Tamandua tetradactyla: one gene and its partner. The protein of the gene in region 1 purifies or fractionates together with the protein of each later gene. This does not show direct contact. Links are inferred from orthologs where the notes say so. Each region holds a gene or a part of one and is shown in the gene's direction. Other genes may lie near its edges. The genes, in order: TRMT112 and ALKBH8.

Evidence for each region.
Region 2: the proteins of TRMT112 (region 1) and ALKBH8 purify together in Homo sapiens (co-immunoprecipitation; 3 studies listed by IntAct, with this or other methods). This does not show direct contact. The link is inferred for Tamandua tetradactyla from reciprocal best matches to the Homo sapiens genes TRMT112 and ALKBH8.

Annotation. Positions count from the first base shown.
Region 1 is NC_135335.1:10,337,525-10,345,361, forward strand, and holds TRMT112 (multifunctional methyltransferase subunit TRM112-like protein), read left to right. Parts: upstream 1-5,216; 5' UTR 5,217-5,272; coding exon 5,273-5,350; intron 5,351-5,442; coding exon 5,443-5,544; intron 5,545-5,682; coding exon 5,683-5,772; intron 5,773-5,859; coding exon 5,860-5,961; 3' UTR 5,962-6,134; downstream 6,135-7,837. Other genes in the region: PRDX5 (peroxiredoxin-5, mitochondrial), read right to left, coding at 1,159-1,264, 1,358-1,419, 1,556-1,594, 1,674-1,805, 2,983-3,117, 4,409-4,570; ESRRA (steroid hormone receptor ERR1), read right to left, coding at 6,866-7,125, 7,433-7,702, 7,798-7,837. UniProt on the Homo sapiens protein: Acts as an activator of both rRNA/tRNA and protein methyltransferases. Together with methyltransferase BUD23, methylates the N(7) position of a guanine in 18S rRNA.
Region 2 is NC_135334.1:34,345,776-34,355,037, forward strand, and holds the start of ALKBH8 (tRNA (carboxymethyluridine(34)-5-O)-methyltransferase ALKBH8), read left to right. Parts: upstream 1-5,627; 5' UTR 5,628-5,668; coding exon 5,669-5,718; intron 5,719-5,731; exon of another isoform or gene 5,732-6,137; intron 6,138-9,262.

The DNA of each region.
Region 1 (7,837 bases):
CCCAAAAGGGAAGCCGACCCACCCTCCTCCTGAGTGCTCTGACCCCCCCCCCCTCAGCCCCTTGGGCCCCCACCCAGGTGGCTCCTGGACTCTCACATCCTAAAGACCTCTAAATCCTGGTGCCCTCATTTTGTCACACCTTCCCTACGCTGCCCACTTCATACCTCTCCCCACCTCCCAGCTCAGACCACCCCAACACTGCATCCAATGTCAGGCTAAGTGCCAACTGGACCTGCCATTGCCCAGCTTAAGACCCTTCAGTAGCCTCAGGCGCCCTAAGGATGAAAGGCAAGCCGCTTACCAGGGCCTGAAGGGTCCCGCTGACCTCCAGCAGCCTCTCTCCTCCCAGCTCACACGCCTACATCCACGCTGCGCCCTCTACCTGGAGCTGCATTCCTACCATCTGCCCAGCTCTCCATACAGTACCTGCGGAGGAGCCCCGGCCCCTCCCTGTGAGCACTGGGCCCGCCCCATGAGCATCTCCACTCTTGCACAGCTCACCTCCAGATTCCTCTCCCAGGGAGCCCTCCTGGACTGGACGAGCCCTGCCTCCAAGAAGGAATCCTTCCTGTCAGTCACTCTCCCAGAGTGCAAGGGGCCCCTCCTGGAAAGACGGTGCTTTCAGAAGGTATGTAACAGTCTGAAAGGTTGGCGGGGTGGGGCTCGGCCCAGATGGGAGACCCAGAGCTGAGGTTCTTTCCCTACAGTTTATAGACCCAAATGACACCAGCGAGCACCCTGAGATGCACATCCAACGTTAAGGGTGTGCACCCAACTTATGCACACAAGCCTTTCCCTGTGGCTTCTCTCTGCATGGAACGTTCCTGCCCTTGCTTTTCGGACCACTGGCTCTTTTTTAGCTTCTAGATCGATGCTTCGTAACACCTTCTTTCAGAGGCTTTCCCTGACAACCTCCTTATTTAAATGGGAATCCAGTTGTTTTCTCCTTCCACACCTGCCCACTGTCATTCCAGCTCTCAATTGTAGTCATGAAGTCAGGCTCTCAGTACAGCAGAGATTCAAAAACAAGGAAGTGGATGTGACCCAGAAGTGTTTATTGCACAAATCTGGCCAAGGTTCCAATTGGGTAGCCCCAGCTGCAGCTAAGTAGATAAGTCAAGGAAAGGGTAAAGAGGGTGTATCTGGGCCGGGGGGGCCTCAGAGCTGCGAGAGGATATTGGGGGCCAGGCTGCAGGTGAGGCCTGTGCCATCCGGCTCCACGTTTAGGACCTTCACCACGCCATCCTCTATCACCATGGAGAACCTGCCGGAAGGGAGGCCAAAAAAGTCAGGCCCAGAGACCGGAATAGGAGGAGAGGGCCCCAATGAACCCCACAGAACACCCTCTCACTTTTACCTCTTGAGCCGACGATTCCCAAAGAGTGGCACCAACGTATCATCTAGTAACAAATCCGTCTCCTGGGAGGGAAGATAGAGAAAAGGATCAGGAAGCCCCAAGGGGGCTGCTCCCCACACTGGTCAAGTCCCTCCAAATCTCTGCTTCCAAGACCTGGCAGAGGAACCACGCTGTAGTGGGGGGACGGCGTGTACTCACCTTCCCAAAGGCCCCAGAAGGGTCAGCCAGGAGACGAACCTGGGGAGACAGAAAATAAAGGTCACCAGAAAAATCTCCTGCTTGGGCCCTGAGCCCCTTCAGGACCCCTGCACCTTACCTTGCCATCCACGTTGTGGGCTCGCCCCCACTCGCCAGTCACAAAGACATCATTGACACTCAGACATGCCACCACTTGGATGCCCTTGGCCTTCATAGCCCCAGCCTGCTCCACAAACCCCGGCAGGTGCGTCTGGGGAGGAGAAACTAAGGGTCAACAAGGAATGATCTTCAGGCCCCCCTAACTTCCCTGCTTTGACTCCTTTAATCAACGAAAACTATGTAAACCAACCTATTTCCTTGTTTGCCTTGGCCACAAGGAAGCTCAGATCCAAACTTAAGGTTGTGGGGTCAGGACCACGGATTTTTTTTTCAATTTTTTAATTTAAAAAAATATATGTAACAACAAACAAATGCAAACGTTCTTAATTTATGATTATTCCATTCTACATATATAATCAGTAATTCACAATATCATCACATAGTTGCATATTCATCATCATGATCATTTCTTAGAACATCTGCATTAATTCAGAAAAAGAAATAAAAAGGCAACAGAAAAAAAATCATACATACCATACCCCTTACCCCTCCCTTTCACTGATCACTAGCATTTCAATCTAAATTTATTTTAACATTTGTTCCCCCTATTACTTATCTTTATTCCACATGTTTTTTACTCTTCTGTTGATAAGTTAGATAAACGGAGCATCAGATAAAGGTTTTCACAATCACACAGTCACATTGCGAAAGCTATATCATTATACAATCATCCTCAAGAAACATGGCTACTGGAACACAGCTCTACATTTTCAGGCAGGTTCCTCCAGCCTCTCTGTTACATCTTGGATAACAAGGTGATATCTACTTAATGCAAGAATAACCTCCAGGATAACCTCTCAACTCTGTTTGGAATCTCTCAGCCATTGACACTTTATTTTGTCTCATTTCACTCTTCCCCCTTTTGGTTGAGAAGATTTTCTCAGTCCCTTGATGCTGAGTTCCAGCTCATTCTGGGATTTCTGTGTCACGTTGCCAGGAAGGTCCACACCCCTGGGAGTCATAGAAACATGGATTATTTACCTGGATTATTTGCCTTTCAGAGTACCTGCCACTCAGCAGGGTCAACAAGGGGGTATTGAGCTTAATCACAATAATTCCTTTCTCCTACATTCCTTGTGGTTACCTTTCTGCAGCCTCCACTTACTTTCTGAACACTCTAAACATAGCTTTTTTTTACTCTCAGGCTACCTAGGTTCCTTGGTGGCAAGCCGCCTCAGGCCTTTGGAGGGATATGTGAAGGACTTAAAAGCAATGCAAACATTTTCAAAAGATCCAGATTCCTAATCTCAAGAAGGGCAGGGCCTCACCTTGGAGCAGCCCGGGGTAAATGCCCCGGGGACTCCAAACAGCACTCCCTTCTTGCCTCTGTACAGCTCCGCCAGGTTCACCTTGTTCCCAGGCTCCCCTTCAAACACCTCCACCGGTGGGATGGCATCGCCCACCTAGAGGGAAGGGCTCCAAGGTTAGGAGTTGAGAGGTGGGGGGAGGCCCAAGGAGGGACAGCAGCAAACCAGAGCCAGGAGGGAATGGGGGGAGGTCTGGTGGCTGTGCTTGGCAGAGCCCGGGGGGAAAAAAAGTCCAGCCCTGTCAGAGTTTCCAGAGGTCCCTCCCTGCTGCCCTCCCCTTCCCCCCGACTCTCACCCGCCTGGTTGCCCCATATCCTCCAGGGGTCAGTGAGGCCCTGTCCCCTCATAAGGATCCATTGGTGACACCAAAGAAAGGGAGAGAAGGCCTTGCACGGTGTCGCAAGGGATTGAGTCAACAAGTTGTAAGGGTTATGGGAGAAGAGTGGGGCCAAACCCGCAAGGGGAGGAGAAGCAGGGGGGAAGGGGGTTGTTGGGTTGGAAGGAATACTGGACAACAGGGAAAGCATGGATCCTGGCCAGCCATGGAGAAAAGGAAGGAAGGCAGGAGGGCAGTAACAAGGTGGGAAGGGGAAGATCCCGGCCCTATGCAAGGGGGGTAAAATGAAAGGAATCTCTTAAGGGGGAGGGATCAGTGCATCTGGGAATGTGAGAGGGCTCCATGGGGATGGAGGAGGTAAAGATAGGAGGAAGGGAGGCTGAGAGATGGAGGATCTCTCAGTAGGTTGGAGGATGGTGAAACAAGGCGAAGGGCCTCGGAAGGGTGTGGGAGGGGAAGAGGGGGTTGAGTTCCAAGGAGTGGGGGACAGCTCCAGAAGATGGGCGGGAGGAGAGACTCAACTGAAGTGTGGGGGATCGCCTCGGGAGGAGGAGGAGGGGAAATCGGAGTGGCATGGGGAGACAAAACGAGGGCTCAAAGGGCTGACAGCTGTTCCATACGATTAAGAGTGATCCAAGCAATATGACAAAAGGGAGGGGAGGGTGGCGCGGCGGGGTAAAGAGGGTTCTGGGGCAACGGAGATGGTTGGTTTCCAGAAGGTGGGAAAGGCCACGGCATTCAAACAGCGGAAAATGGCGGAGACCACAGCAGTGTCGCAGTCGACACGCAGCGGGAATCGAGGGGGGAGGGTCCAGAGCCCGGAGGCTGTTCCAGGAGATCCTGCACGAGGTCCCAAAACTTGGCGAGAGGGGGTGGCAGTCACGGGTGTCTCGATGAGGGGGTGAAGGGGCTGGACCGCGGGAGGGACCTCTGGGGCGGCGGAGAGGGCTCCGGAGGGCGGGAGAGAGGACCCCACCTTCCCCACCGGAGCGGGACGAGGGACGGCCTCGGGAAGATGGGGGGGTCAGGTCTGACGGGGCCGACGGTCACCTTAATCGGCGCCATGGCTGCGGCGGCGCTGCTGAAACCGCACGTGCACCCTCCTCCTCCTTCCAGGCGTAGGCCCGTTCCCACCGCTACCGCTCGGGTAAACTCGACGGCGGTCGCCCGAGGGAGCGCGGAGTTCGCGCGGCGCCCCACAAGGCGCAGCATACGCAGCCACTCGCCGGGCGCCACGGCCGCGACCGCCCCTTCGACCCCGGCGGGGGCGGAGCCGCGCCGGCCGCAGAAGGCGGAGCCTCGGCCGCGCCCGGCCCCCAGCGAAACGCCCTCACTGCGCAGGCGTGGACGGCCGCGCTGCGGGCCGGGCTTCCGGGATTCAGGGCTTGTTTGCATTAGGGGCTGGGTCGCTGATACCTTCTCCCCCTCTCAGTGGGCGTAGCTCGCGACGATCCTGCAGGTTCTTTGCAGACAAGGATGGGGTGCCGCTTTATTTTGAGGGGCCTCATTTATAGTTGGGGCAATAGCGCACCTCATTAGAAGGGGAGGGCTGGTGTCAGGAGCCCGTGCACAAGCAAAACGCATGTCTATCTGACATTTAACGAGGTTCCCTGCACTGCAGCTGTTTTACATATAATTTGCATCCCGATAGCGGGTGAAGGTTTGGCTTCAACCAAACCACTAGGCGGCGTGCGACATAACGATCTCCCGCGGAGCCGCTTCCGGGAGCAGCGCGTGACTGAACCAGGTCTTCCCTATGTCTCTGCTTGGCCGAGCACGAGCCCTGACAGCAGTTTCGCTGCTTCCGGTCTTTTGGCCGCCCGATAGGCTAGCTAGCGGCACCGTCCCGGAAGTGACGTTTTGGCGGGGCGGTATATTTCCGGTTCCTGCCTGGGTAGGACGTTTAGCCGCGACATGAAGCTGCTCACTCACAACCTGCTAAGCTCTCACGTGCGGGGGGTGGGGCCCCGTGGCTTCCCCCTGCGTCTCCAGGTACCGATCCGCGCAGACCCACGCCCCTCTCCCGGGTGAGCTGCGGATATCAGAGTCCGATCCCCTTTCTAACTAATCTCTTCCCACTGCAGGCCACCGAGGTCCGCATCAACCCGGTGGAGTTCAACCCGGACTTCGTAGCGCGTATGATACCCAAGGTGGAGTGGGCAGCGCTTCTGGAGGCGGCCGATACTGTGAGGACCCTCCCCCCACCCCGCCTGTGCCTAGCGGGGGAGGTGGTCTCACCGCACCCTCTCACACCCGGCCCGGGAGCTCGGCCTGATGGGGAGGGTCGGGGATGGCCGGAGATGATTTAGGCTTCTTGCCCACAGTTGCATCTGGTCGAGGTGCCCAAGGGACCAGTTGAGGGGTATGAGCGAGATGAGACATTTTTGAGGAAGATGCACCACGTGTTGCTAGAGGTGAGAACCGGCTCACACTTTGCTTTCCCGGCCATGCCACCCCTCCCTTAGGGCCCAGGTGTTCAGCTGTTTTCCCTCTGCCCACAGGTGGATGTGTTGGAGGGCACTCTGCAATGCCCAGAATCTGGACGTCTGTTCCCCATCAGTCGCGGGATCCCCAACATGCTGCTGAGTGAGGAGGAAACCTAGACCTAGCCATGCCAGGCACGGACCAGCTGATCATTCTGTGACATTCTTTATGTCTGTACATTGTTAACTGTCATGTTCATGTCCAGCCCTCGACCCAATGACACACTGAACACACTGTGTTCTTGAGCTTGATATTATATATATTTTTTCTCATTAAAGGTTCAAAACCAAAAGCGGTTTCTCTTTGCAGCAAATATACATTAAAATAGAGTCTCTGTACAGCCAAGGGCACTGGGCCCTGGCTTGCCCCATGTCCCTGCGCCTCCCTGGCCAAACCCAAAAATAAATATAGTGTTATTGCTCTGCAGGGCATCGAGGCAGTGCTCTCCCTCCCCCTGAGGAGGCTGGGTGGGAGCTGATGGGGGACCCTGGCCACCCTAGGGGGTCCAGGGGCTGGAGCCTGCTTGGAGTTATTGCTTCAAGGGGGGTGGGCAACAGTGCCCAACGCAAATGATGAGGAGAGGAGCGAAGGGGGCAGGGGCCTTTGCTCTCCAAGTCCCACTCTGCTCTGTAGAGGGGGTTGGATTAAGTAGCAGCAAAAGCATCACCCACTGGGAGACTGTGGCCTCCACCCCCTTCCCTCCCTGAGATCAGGCTTCTGCCCCCCACAATTCCCCTGCACCCCCTATGGCTTCCGCAAGGCCCCCGACAGTCTGGGGGCACATTATGGCTTGCAAGGGGCAGCACTGTGCCCAGAGCCCGGGCACACACATCCCCAGCTTCTGACGCCCCCTGGGAGTGGGGAGGGGAGGGCGTGGGGCCTGCTCCCAGGGGCTGATGGCATTGCCCTGGCCCTGCCAGCAGGCTGTGGCACTGCCCAGACCCCAGCTCTGCCCCCTTGGGGTTGAACCCATGCTGGGCGGGTCCTGCCAGCACCCCCACCCACCCACACCCTCCCCCTGCCTCAGTCCATCATGGCCTCGAGCATCTCCAAGAACAGCTTGTGCATGGGCACCTTGCCCTCCAGCTTCACCCCATAGAAATGGGCCAGCACTTTGCCCGCGGTCTGGCGAAGGAGCGGTAGGGTGAGCAGCAGTCTGCCTGCCCGTCGCCGCTCAGCACCCCCTCCAGGGCCTGCCCGGCCAGCTTCATACTCCAGCAGGGCCTCATGCAGGGCTTCTCGCAGCTGCTCCACAGCCTCAGCGTCCTCGATGTGCACAGAGTCTGTAAGCAGAGGGGAGAGAACTGTTGACTTGCACCATCTCCAGAAAGAGCAGGGGCCATCTGTCCTCACCTATAGCTGCCTCCAGTCCTCCCCACTTCACCTCCCACTAAACTGTACTCCCTTCCAAGTGAGCACAGTACTAAGGCTCAGATTCTTGGCCTTGCCCTTGGCTTACTTCGTGACCTTCAGGAAGTCACTGTTCCCTGAGCTGCAGTTTCCTTTATCTGCAGAACGGGCTGTGCTATCAGAGTTAAAGACCAGAGGGCCCAATGGAGAGACCTATCAGTGCCTGCTCCAGACTCTCACCCGAGTTGGCCAGGGCCAGGGCCTTCAGCAGAACGTATTCCTCCCGCTCGAGCCTCAGGGCCTGTAGCCGCCGCACCAGTTGCAGGAGGGCAGCCCCCAGCTCCCCCAGGCCAGCTGCCCGTGCTCCCTCTTCATCCAGGACCAAGTCCTCCGCGAAGGCCAGCTCATCCTGCAGCGGCAGCGAGCGCTGGGCCACGCCCAGCACCAGCACCTCCATCCACACGCTCTGCAGTACTGACATCTGGTCGGACAGCGACAGAGACGAAAAGCCTGGAGGGTGGGGGTGGGCAGCCAGGCTGAGCAAGCGTGCCTGGGGCCAAGCATGGCCTGCACAGGGGAGCCCTCAGACCACCTGAGCTCTTTACCTGGGATGCTCTTGGCCCAGCTGATGGTGACCACAATCTC
Region 2 (9,262 bases), on another chromosome or scaffold:
GTTGTGTACCCGAAAAAAGCCAACTAATTCAACATTGAATTAACCTGATTCAATGTTGGAGGGTGGGAACACTTTTGATTAGATGGAGATGTTACTCCACCGTTTCAAGGTGGGTCTTGGTTAGTTTACTGGAGTCCTTTAAAAGAGGAAACATTTTGGAGAAAACTCAGAGTCAATCAGAGGTATGGAGATCGAGACAGAAAGAGACCAGGTGCTAAGCAAGGATTCACAGAAATAGCCAGAAACTGAAAAGAAGAAATCCTCAGTCCTGGCAGATGCTAAGCTAAGAGATGAAACCCAGAGTTTTGCCCTGGAGCAGCTAAGTGAAGGCCCAAAGATGCTTAGAGAGGAAACTACTAGCACCAGAAGCACAAGGAACAGAACTTGGAACAAGGTCCAGTGGACACCAGCCATGTGCCTTACCATATCAGCTCTCCTTGAGCCAAGTATCTTCCTCTAGATGCCTTACTTAGGACATAGTTATGGCCTTAGAACTGTAAACTTTTATTAAATTCCCTTTTTAAAAGCCATTCCGTTTCTGGTATATTGCTTTCTGGTAGCCAAACAAACCAATACACCAATTAATTGTTGGATTAGTCATTTTGTCTCAACAGACAAATTTAGGTCAGGGTTTCAAACCCCATACAGCATGGCACCCAGAAAACAGAAAAGTATTGAAACTATTATGTAACCCAGAAAAGCCACGTTCTAATCTTGATCCAATCTTGTGGGCCAGAACTATTGTTTAGGGTGGAACCTTTGATGAGATTGTTTTCGTGGAAATTGACCCACCCAATTGTGGTGTGATCTTTTGATTAGATTACTTCCATGGAGATTGGCACACCCAATTGTGTGTGTGGCCTTTTGATTAGATGGAGATGTTGCTCCACCCTTTCAAGGTGGGTCTTGGTTAGTTTACTGGAGTCCTTTAAAAGGGGAAACATTTTACAAATGCTTCAGAGCTGAAAGAGATGCCTGGAAACGTTGCTTCAGAGACAACAGAGACGCAGACATCTGAAGATGCTTGAAATACAAACAGAAATTTATTTGGAGATGAAGAGACCAGCAAACATCACCATGTGCCTTCACATGAGATGCTAAGCAAGTCAGAACCCAGAGCTGTGTGTCTGGAGGGGCTAAGTGAAGGGTCACAGATGCTTAGATAGGAGGCCATTGGAATCTGAACCTGGAAGCAATGGAACCAGGAATAAAGACCACCAGACACCAGCCACATGCATTCCCATGTGACAGACATCAGCCTTTCTTGAGTCAAGGTATCTTTCTCTGGATGCCTTAGTTTGGACATTTTTATGGCATTAGAACTGTAAACTTGTAACTTAATATATTCCCTTTTTAAAAGCCATTCCATTTCTGGTATATTGCATTCTGGCAGCATTTAACGAACTAAAACAGGTATAGCGGCCAGAACATAGGGGATTGTTCTGGAAGCAGGACTCGGCCTTAAAACCAGATCCAAAGTGGCTCGAACTGTCATATTTACTCCACCATCCACTTTTACCCTGATGACCTACTCCCCTAGTCAGATGTCAGGATATGGAACTAAAAATTATTTCTCCCCTTGAAGCTTTTTAAGTTGCTAAAAGTCTCTGGAGTGCCAGCAGAACAGAGAAACCCTGGTTGCCCAGCCTGTAGACTAAATACAGTCCAGCAGCTGCAAAAGACTTCGTTACTGTGGTCTGGGAGGCTCCAGAGCCTCAGGTATTGTCCCTTTTGAGGGTCACCAAATTGTTACCAAAGTGGTGGATTCTTTTGCTCTATGTGCCCAAATGACCTATTCCTGAGACACTGGGGTTTCAAGGAGAGAAAAAGTTTATTACTGGGCACTTAGCAGGAGATCAGATGCCTGTCAGCCCAAGAGCTGTCTCCCCAAACTGTAATTCTTATAGTTTTATAGCATTAAAAGATAGGTAGGCTTTAGGATAATAAGCACAATGGCCCCAGATGATGTAATTTGAGGTGACTTAATTATTGAGCATGTGCAGATTGATGGCATGCTTAGTCATAGAACATATGGAAGAAAATGGTGGCCTTATTATAATGATGGGTGTGATTCTTAGTATTACAATGAGTATTACAGGTGACTTACAGGTTAAAGTCTAAGCTACAGCACATGTCAGGTGGGCCCATTTTGGTTAGATCCAGACTCAGTTATCAAGATAACTTTGAACTTGGGGCGGATTAATTCTGGACTGACCTAGGACCCTTCATTAATCAGTATTAGGGGCTGTTTTTAGTTGTCAGAAGGCTCTAAAGTCCAAAGATTACATAAATGGATACAAATGAATTTTAGCCACAAGGGTTTTACAATTACAGGGCACAAGATGAAGGCTATACAATCATTATAAAAGATGAAGGTAGCTAGATTACAATGCAAAAAATTCAGGTAATTCCTTCTGTCTACTCTAATACACCAGAAAGCAAAAAGGAATATCTATACAATAATTCATTAATAAAATTATCCCTTGAATGCCAATTTCTTGGTTACAGTAAGATTTATTTCTGTCTTTACAGTCTTTTTAGTGCATTGCCCATGATGTGCATCACATTTTGGTTTAATGCTTATTCAATAATACAACTGTTCTTTCTCTTTTACCTTTTAGAGAGGTAGACGAAGGTTGGCAGGAGATTTTATTTTTAATTGTGTTTCCCTGACACCAGAAAGAAGAGGGTCCAGGGGTTGGCAAACTAGCCCATGGGCCAAATCCTGGAAGCATAAACTCTTACAACCAAGAATATTTTTTTACATTTTTAAAGGGTTGTAAAAACAAGCAAACACAGAAGACATGGACAACAACAAAAAACCCAAAGAAGAATGTGTGACAGAGACCACATATGGTGTATTAGGGTTCTCTAGAGAAACAGAACCAACAGGAGAGATCTGTAAATATGAGATCTGTAAAGGTGTCTCATGCAAACATGGCAATGGAAGAGTCCAAAATCCTTATGGCAGGCTGTGAAGCTGGTGGTTCCAATGAAGGATCTGGACAAATTCCACAGGAGAGGCTTGCTGGCTGAAGAAGCAGTGAAAGAGTCTCTCTTCTTCCTTAAAAGCCTTCAACTGATTACACTATATCATTGTGGGAGATACGCCTTAGTTGATCGTAAATGTAATTAGCCACAGCTGCAATCAACTGACTGCAATCAACCAGCCATGGAATATCCTTGCAGCAATGGTCAGGCCAATGCTTGCCTGACCAGGCATGTGGGCAAAATTACTTGGCCAATTTGACAGCAGAACCTAACCATCAAATATGGCAATGCTGACTCTTGCACTAGTTAACCAAGGGCTCAGGTATCATGGGTTTTACAAAGACAAGACACACTAGGTTCACAGTTAATACCATTGAAAAATTATTACAGGACCCTGTGCAAAATTTTTCACATGTGAAGATGAATTCTATCTTCAAATTAAATTTCTTTCCAGTTCAATATGTATTGAATTCCTATTATTACAAGCCTACGGAAGACAAGGGTTACAAAGTGAATAAGACAGGATCTTAACATAGCTGAAAATTCCTCCAGGGAGTCATCTTTGCTGGGAGCACTAGCCCGTGCAAAACTCCAAGCAAAAGACAAGGATCTGTATAAAAAGGATTATATGCAAAAGTTTTAATGTATCCACCTTTTTCTAAGGATATGGAGGAGGAGATGGGCAGCAGGTGTTTGGTAATGTGGGCCTGTACCTTAGGAGCAGAAGAGGAGAGAAGGAATAAATAACCATTTAATAGCTACTTTATGTATAGTATTTTATTTAATTATCACAGCAATTCCAAAAGGTAAATGCTGTTTTGTATTTTCTATTTCAGGTCACACTCCAATGCCCAAGTTCTTTCCACTAAACCAAACTGCCACCTAAAGGGTAGTCAGGACTAAACATATAGAAAGATTAGGGATTGATTCACAAACCTCTTTAAAATCCTGGGAGGCAGTTGGAAAGACTGTAGACTGAAAAAGGAGTCAAACAGAAAACATGAGGTATTGTCTGTGTTTATCTATAGCCATAAGGAGGGAAGATAGTAAAAAAGACTGAAAACAAGTAGTCAGAAGTAGGAGAGAGTGTTTTTACGAAGACTAACAAACTCAAAAGTTTCAAAAAGAAGTAGATTGAAAGTTTAAAAAGCTTCAGCATCTTCAAGTAGGATGGATACCTAAAGTAACAGAATTTGGCAACCAGAGATAACTGATGGTATTTTACAATGTTATCCAATTCAGTAGCCACTAGCCACGTGTGACTATTTAAACTTACATGAATTAATACTAAATAAAATTTTAAAAATTCAGATTCGGTTTTCTCAGTTTCACCAGCCATATTTCAAGTTCTCAATAGCTATTGGCTATTGTTATCATATTGGACAGCTTGGAGTATAAAACACCGGAGAAAATTCTTACTGAAATGTGCTGTGTTTGAAAGTATCCAGTAGCATTGAAAGACTGCAACAGTTTTCCCCTCATCCCTGTTCAGTAGGTTCCCATGTCTGGTTGAGTCCACCTCTCCAATTTGCTCTATCCTCTTCACTTTTGCTATTCAGTTTTGTCTCCATCCTCTCTTTCGTGGACTACTGCTATGGCTGCCTAATAGGCCTCCAAACTTCTGGCCTTTCTAATCTATTCTCCCCACAAATCAGTCCTCCTTTTAACTTTCTAGCCAGTACCAACCAGCCTTAACCTTTATTATTTGTCTCAGTGGGAGCGCGCTCGGGCGTGCGTGTGTGTGATCACTGTAGCAGCAGGGAGAACTCCCTGCTGGGAGAACTCCCCCCTCCCTTTCCAATTTCCCTTCCTTTGAACTCACAAAGCTCAAAATCTAATGCTAGTGGAATGACAATGCATTTATATCACACGAATAATCTTAGGGTAGGAACAATCACTATCATCACCCTCTCGTGCATTTTTATTTCCAATCTGTCGTCAAATCTTTTTCCTTTTAATCCGCCAATGGCGTGCCCTAGTTAACATTTCGTTACTTTTCACTTTACCATCGCAATAACCTGCTAAATAGTCTTCTTACTTCTAGCTTTTCCTTCCACCTTCCTCCAGAAATTCCATTTCCCGGGTCAGGTCACAACTCATCTCCCTCCTTCCCCAGAGATGCCATCTCTCAGACCCCAGGGGTCTCTCTCCCCATCTCTAAGATGTACAAAGAGCACAACGGAAGACAATTATTGAGGGATCAAGGTTGATGGGAAAAACAAACCTGTTTGACCCTGTTCATTTTGTAAGCTACCGATAAAAATATAATGAATTCCCAAGCATTACTATTTTTTTTCCAATAAAACGGCTGTAAATGAGAACATGACACCGGGCAAGGGCTCTTGGTCACGAAAGGTTCAAAAGAGTTCTGTGGGTGGCGAATGGGATTGTGGGAGCACGCTTCCTCACCCTGCTGATTCCTGGGAAATGTAGTGCAGTTTTTCTCCAACATGGCTGCGCCCAGGTGAGGCGGAGTGTGAGAATTCCCCGCGTCTTTCTACCACTAACATAAAGATGCTGGCGACTGCGAGAGTATCCGCGGGTGAGAACCCGGCATGGTGAATACGGAGATTTGTGGTACTTTTTCATGGCTGGCGCGATGGAGCCGTAAGTCACCGCTTCCTCTGTCAGCGTCTTCCGGACTGTTGTGCTTTGCCGGCTTGAGGATGAGAATATAATGAGGGAAGGAATGGCCCCCGGGACTCTCTCTCTTGCGGTCCGTGGAAGGTAGTTTGCCAGCACTGGGTGGTCCTATAACTGTTTGAGATACACATGGTTGGGTACTGTGCGGCTGCTCACTGTGAATCTTTTTCTTTGAGGTTGGGAACGGACTGTTGCATCCTGGGGCGTGTTAGTCGGTCGCTTATGGGGCTCATCTGACCGGTGTCAATCCAGTGAAGCAAGGGCATCACTGTTGGCCAGATCGCCCACAGCTGAGTCTTCCAGTGCTCTTACTTGAGTAATTCCTTCAACCATTGGGCCCCTAGTGTGTCAACCTCTGCTACTAATTGATTTCATTTGACGAACATGTATTGAGTGCTTGCTGTTCACCAGGTACTCTGTTAGGGGTTAGAGGTTGTATTTTCTCTCAGGTCTTTGCTTTCAAGTAGATGACAGCCTTCTGGGGGAGACCAACACACAAGCAGGTAATTATAATACAGTGTGAGTACTATAGAGTTAGAGATACACATCCCTTAATTAATGAAACCATTGAGGAGTGTTGCCAAAATAATTTTGGAGGAGGAAGGGCTTAGGAGGTAAGATGGTGAGTTCAAATTTGGCATATTCAATAAAAGTTGTTGAGTGACTACGAGGTCCAAGAACCTGTGTGGGTGCTGGGGCTACAAAATGAACAATACAGACAAAATCCCCTCGTGGAGCTTATTGTCTGGTTAGAGGGGGAAGGTAGAGAATAAACAAATAATGAGGGCGTAAGAAAATACATAGCATTCTTTAGAGAGTTCTTTAGAGAGTTTAAAAACAGGGTGACATGACAAGTGATGGGGTGAATGTTTTCTCATCATTTAAAACATTTTTCTTTTTAAATAGGTAATGCATTTTGAATAGCTACTAAATTCAAAAGTTAAAAGAGGAAATTCTTTCGTTCCTGTTCTCCATCCACCTATTGTGTCTCCCTCGAGACAGCCCATATTACCAATTTCTTGCGTGACTTAGTTTCCCTTTATATAGCTTTATATGAATATGTGCTGTTATTTATAATCAGGCCTCATTTGATAGGAATTTAGGTTCTTTCTGATCTTTGCTATTAAATATAATTTACATATAAACACAGGAACATTTGTTTCACCTATTCGCCTATACTACTTGGTTCATAGTAGGCTTTCCGTTGGTGTGGAGAATGTGGATGTGCAAACTACTGTTGCCTTTCAGGGCAATATTCAAAATATTCCATAGAATTTATTAAACTTAGCAAGCAAGTAGCAAAGCATGCATGATCCCCAAACTCTCATAACGTCACAGAGAATATGCTTAGGCTGGACATGGCTATTATGGACTCAGCATGGCTAGTATTTTAGTAAATAGTGATCTCACTCCCATAACATACCCTAACACTCTATTACATGACAAATAACATCTAATCATTTGTGCAACAGTAGAAACTCCCTGGTCGGGGACGCCACCTTTTTAGAAAGGGAAATCCTCCAGACCTCAAGCTGGTGTCAGCCTGTTCCTTTGTTGAGGTGACTCAGACCTGCCAGGCCAGTGCATTTCCAAGTCACTGATTGGGGAAGAAATGAGCCTCCAAGTGAAATTTGGATTTGTCTTTCTTCACATGCAGCTCCATCTGCTGGTAGTTGGATTCTTGGCAGCGGGCTTTTAAAAGATGTATTCATCATTTTTCCATTCTCATTTCCACTTTGCAGTTACTGCTCTTGTGAAATATTAAGAAAAAATTCCATAGTGTATTTATCTCTCGCTCTCCAAAATATACTGCAAAATTGCCTTTCCAAAGAAGATGATCTTGGAATTGGATGACTATAAAATAGCTCCTTTGAAGGCCCTCAGTTTTTTCTTTTTTTTTCCTTAACCATTTGGATCTGGCTCTTCTGGAAATTAACAGTAATATATTAATAGATGTATTTATTCCTAATAAAGCTATGAGGTAGGCACTATTATTGTTATCCCTGTTTTACATATGAAGAAACTGAAGCACTAAGATGTTAAGTAACTAACTCATCAGGATATACAGCTAATAGTGGTGGATCTGAGATTTGAACCTAGAGTCTGAACTCGTAAACACTGTTATAATATCTCATAGTACTGAATGAGGCTCTGGGGAAACAAAGAAAAATGTTATTTAATCCCTGTCATCAAGGAGGTCATGATCCGGTGGAAAGGAACAGACATTAGAACAAATTATTATAATTAGTCCATTGTTAGAAATATCCATTCGTTTGTCCTCTTCCTGTCTAATCATTCTTAAAGCCTTTCTAACTTCAATTCCCCTCCTGAGAGCCACTTCATATTGTCAACTGCCAACCAGATATTGCAACTGTATACCTGGTCAGTATCTCCAACATGTTATATCTTAAATCTGACCTAACCTCCCTTTCAGAATAGCTCTTCCTGTCTTTCCAGTTTAAAAATGACATCAACTAATCTCTGTCATTCAGGCTCCAACCTAGAAAGTCATCTTTGGTTGCTCTCTTCCTCACTTCTGAGTAGTCATCAAGGCCTATTTATTCTACTTTACCACTTCCCCTCCCTCTACGGTTTCTTTTTTTCCTGCTGCTTCTCCCTTGGATCTGGCCTGCATTTTTGCTTGCCAAGTCGTATTATTGCAGTTCCCCTTACCTCTCGTCTGCCTACTATGCTTTTCAGCTAGCCTACTTTACCAGCTCTATTTCTTATCACTTGCACCCTGTGTGTTAGTTAAGCTAGGCAGCTGGCTGTTCTTTCAATAGGCTTGGCATTTTTTTTCTGTAAAGATTTGTAATTAGAGTTTTATCTGTGAACTGTTTTAGACTGTGATTTTGTTTAACCCTCTAAATTTATTTTGTTTGTTAACCCTAAAGACTTTGAAGTATATAGAGATTGGGTCAGCAAACATTCTCTGCTCTAAAAAATTATACCTACCCCTTACAATCTTTGCCATACATCCAATCCTGGTTTGGGCTTCTGCTTTTTATTGCCTCACTAGATACCTTCCCTTTCATATGACTCTATATTCTTATCTTTTAGTACTCAGCCCAAGTCCCTTTAAGTTTTGAAATCTTTCTAAACTTTTCCAGTTAATAATAATCTTATTTTTTGTTTTTAATTCCTCACACCTAAAGACTTTATCATTAACATTTCATTTTATAAACTTGTGTCATATTCTTATACCTTGTTTAATGTTTGTTTTCTTCAACTAAGTTAAAAAGTTGTTGAAAGCATAAACTTGTCTTATAGTTGTAATCTGCAGAATTTTGAAACCATAATAGGCATGTGTGTATTCACTCGTTTGTCATTCATTTATCCTTTTAAATATATTTGGATTAAACACCTACAGTGTGCTGGTGTTCCTCTTCTCTTGGAATTTGCATCTTGATGGGAGAATAAACCTGGTAATTGAATCATCACAAATTGTGTTAAATTCAGTGAACAAAATAAAATCTATTGTGACAAAGAATGATGTAAGGATGCTGGTTTGAATGGGGTGGTTAAGAAGACGACGTCCTTGGGAAACCACTCAGTAACTACTTGTTCATTTAAATATTCCAGTTAAGTGAAAATAATTCTATGGGGCTTTTATTTCTGCTATTTTCTA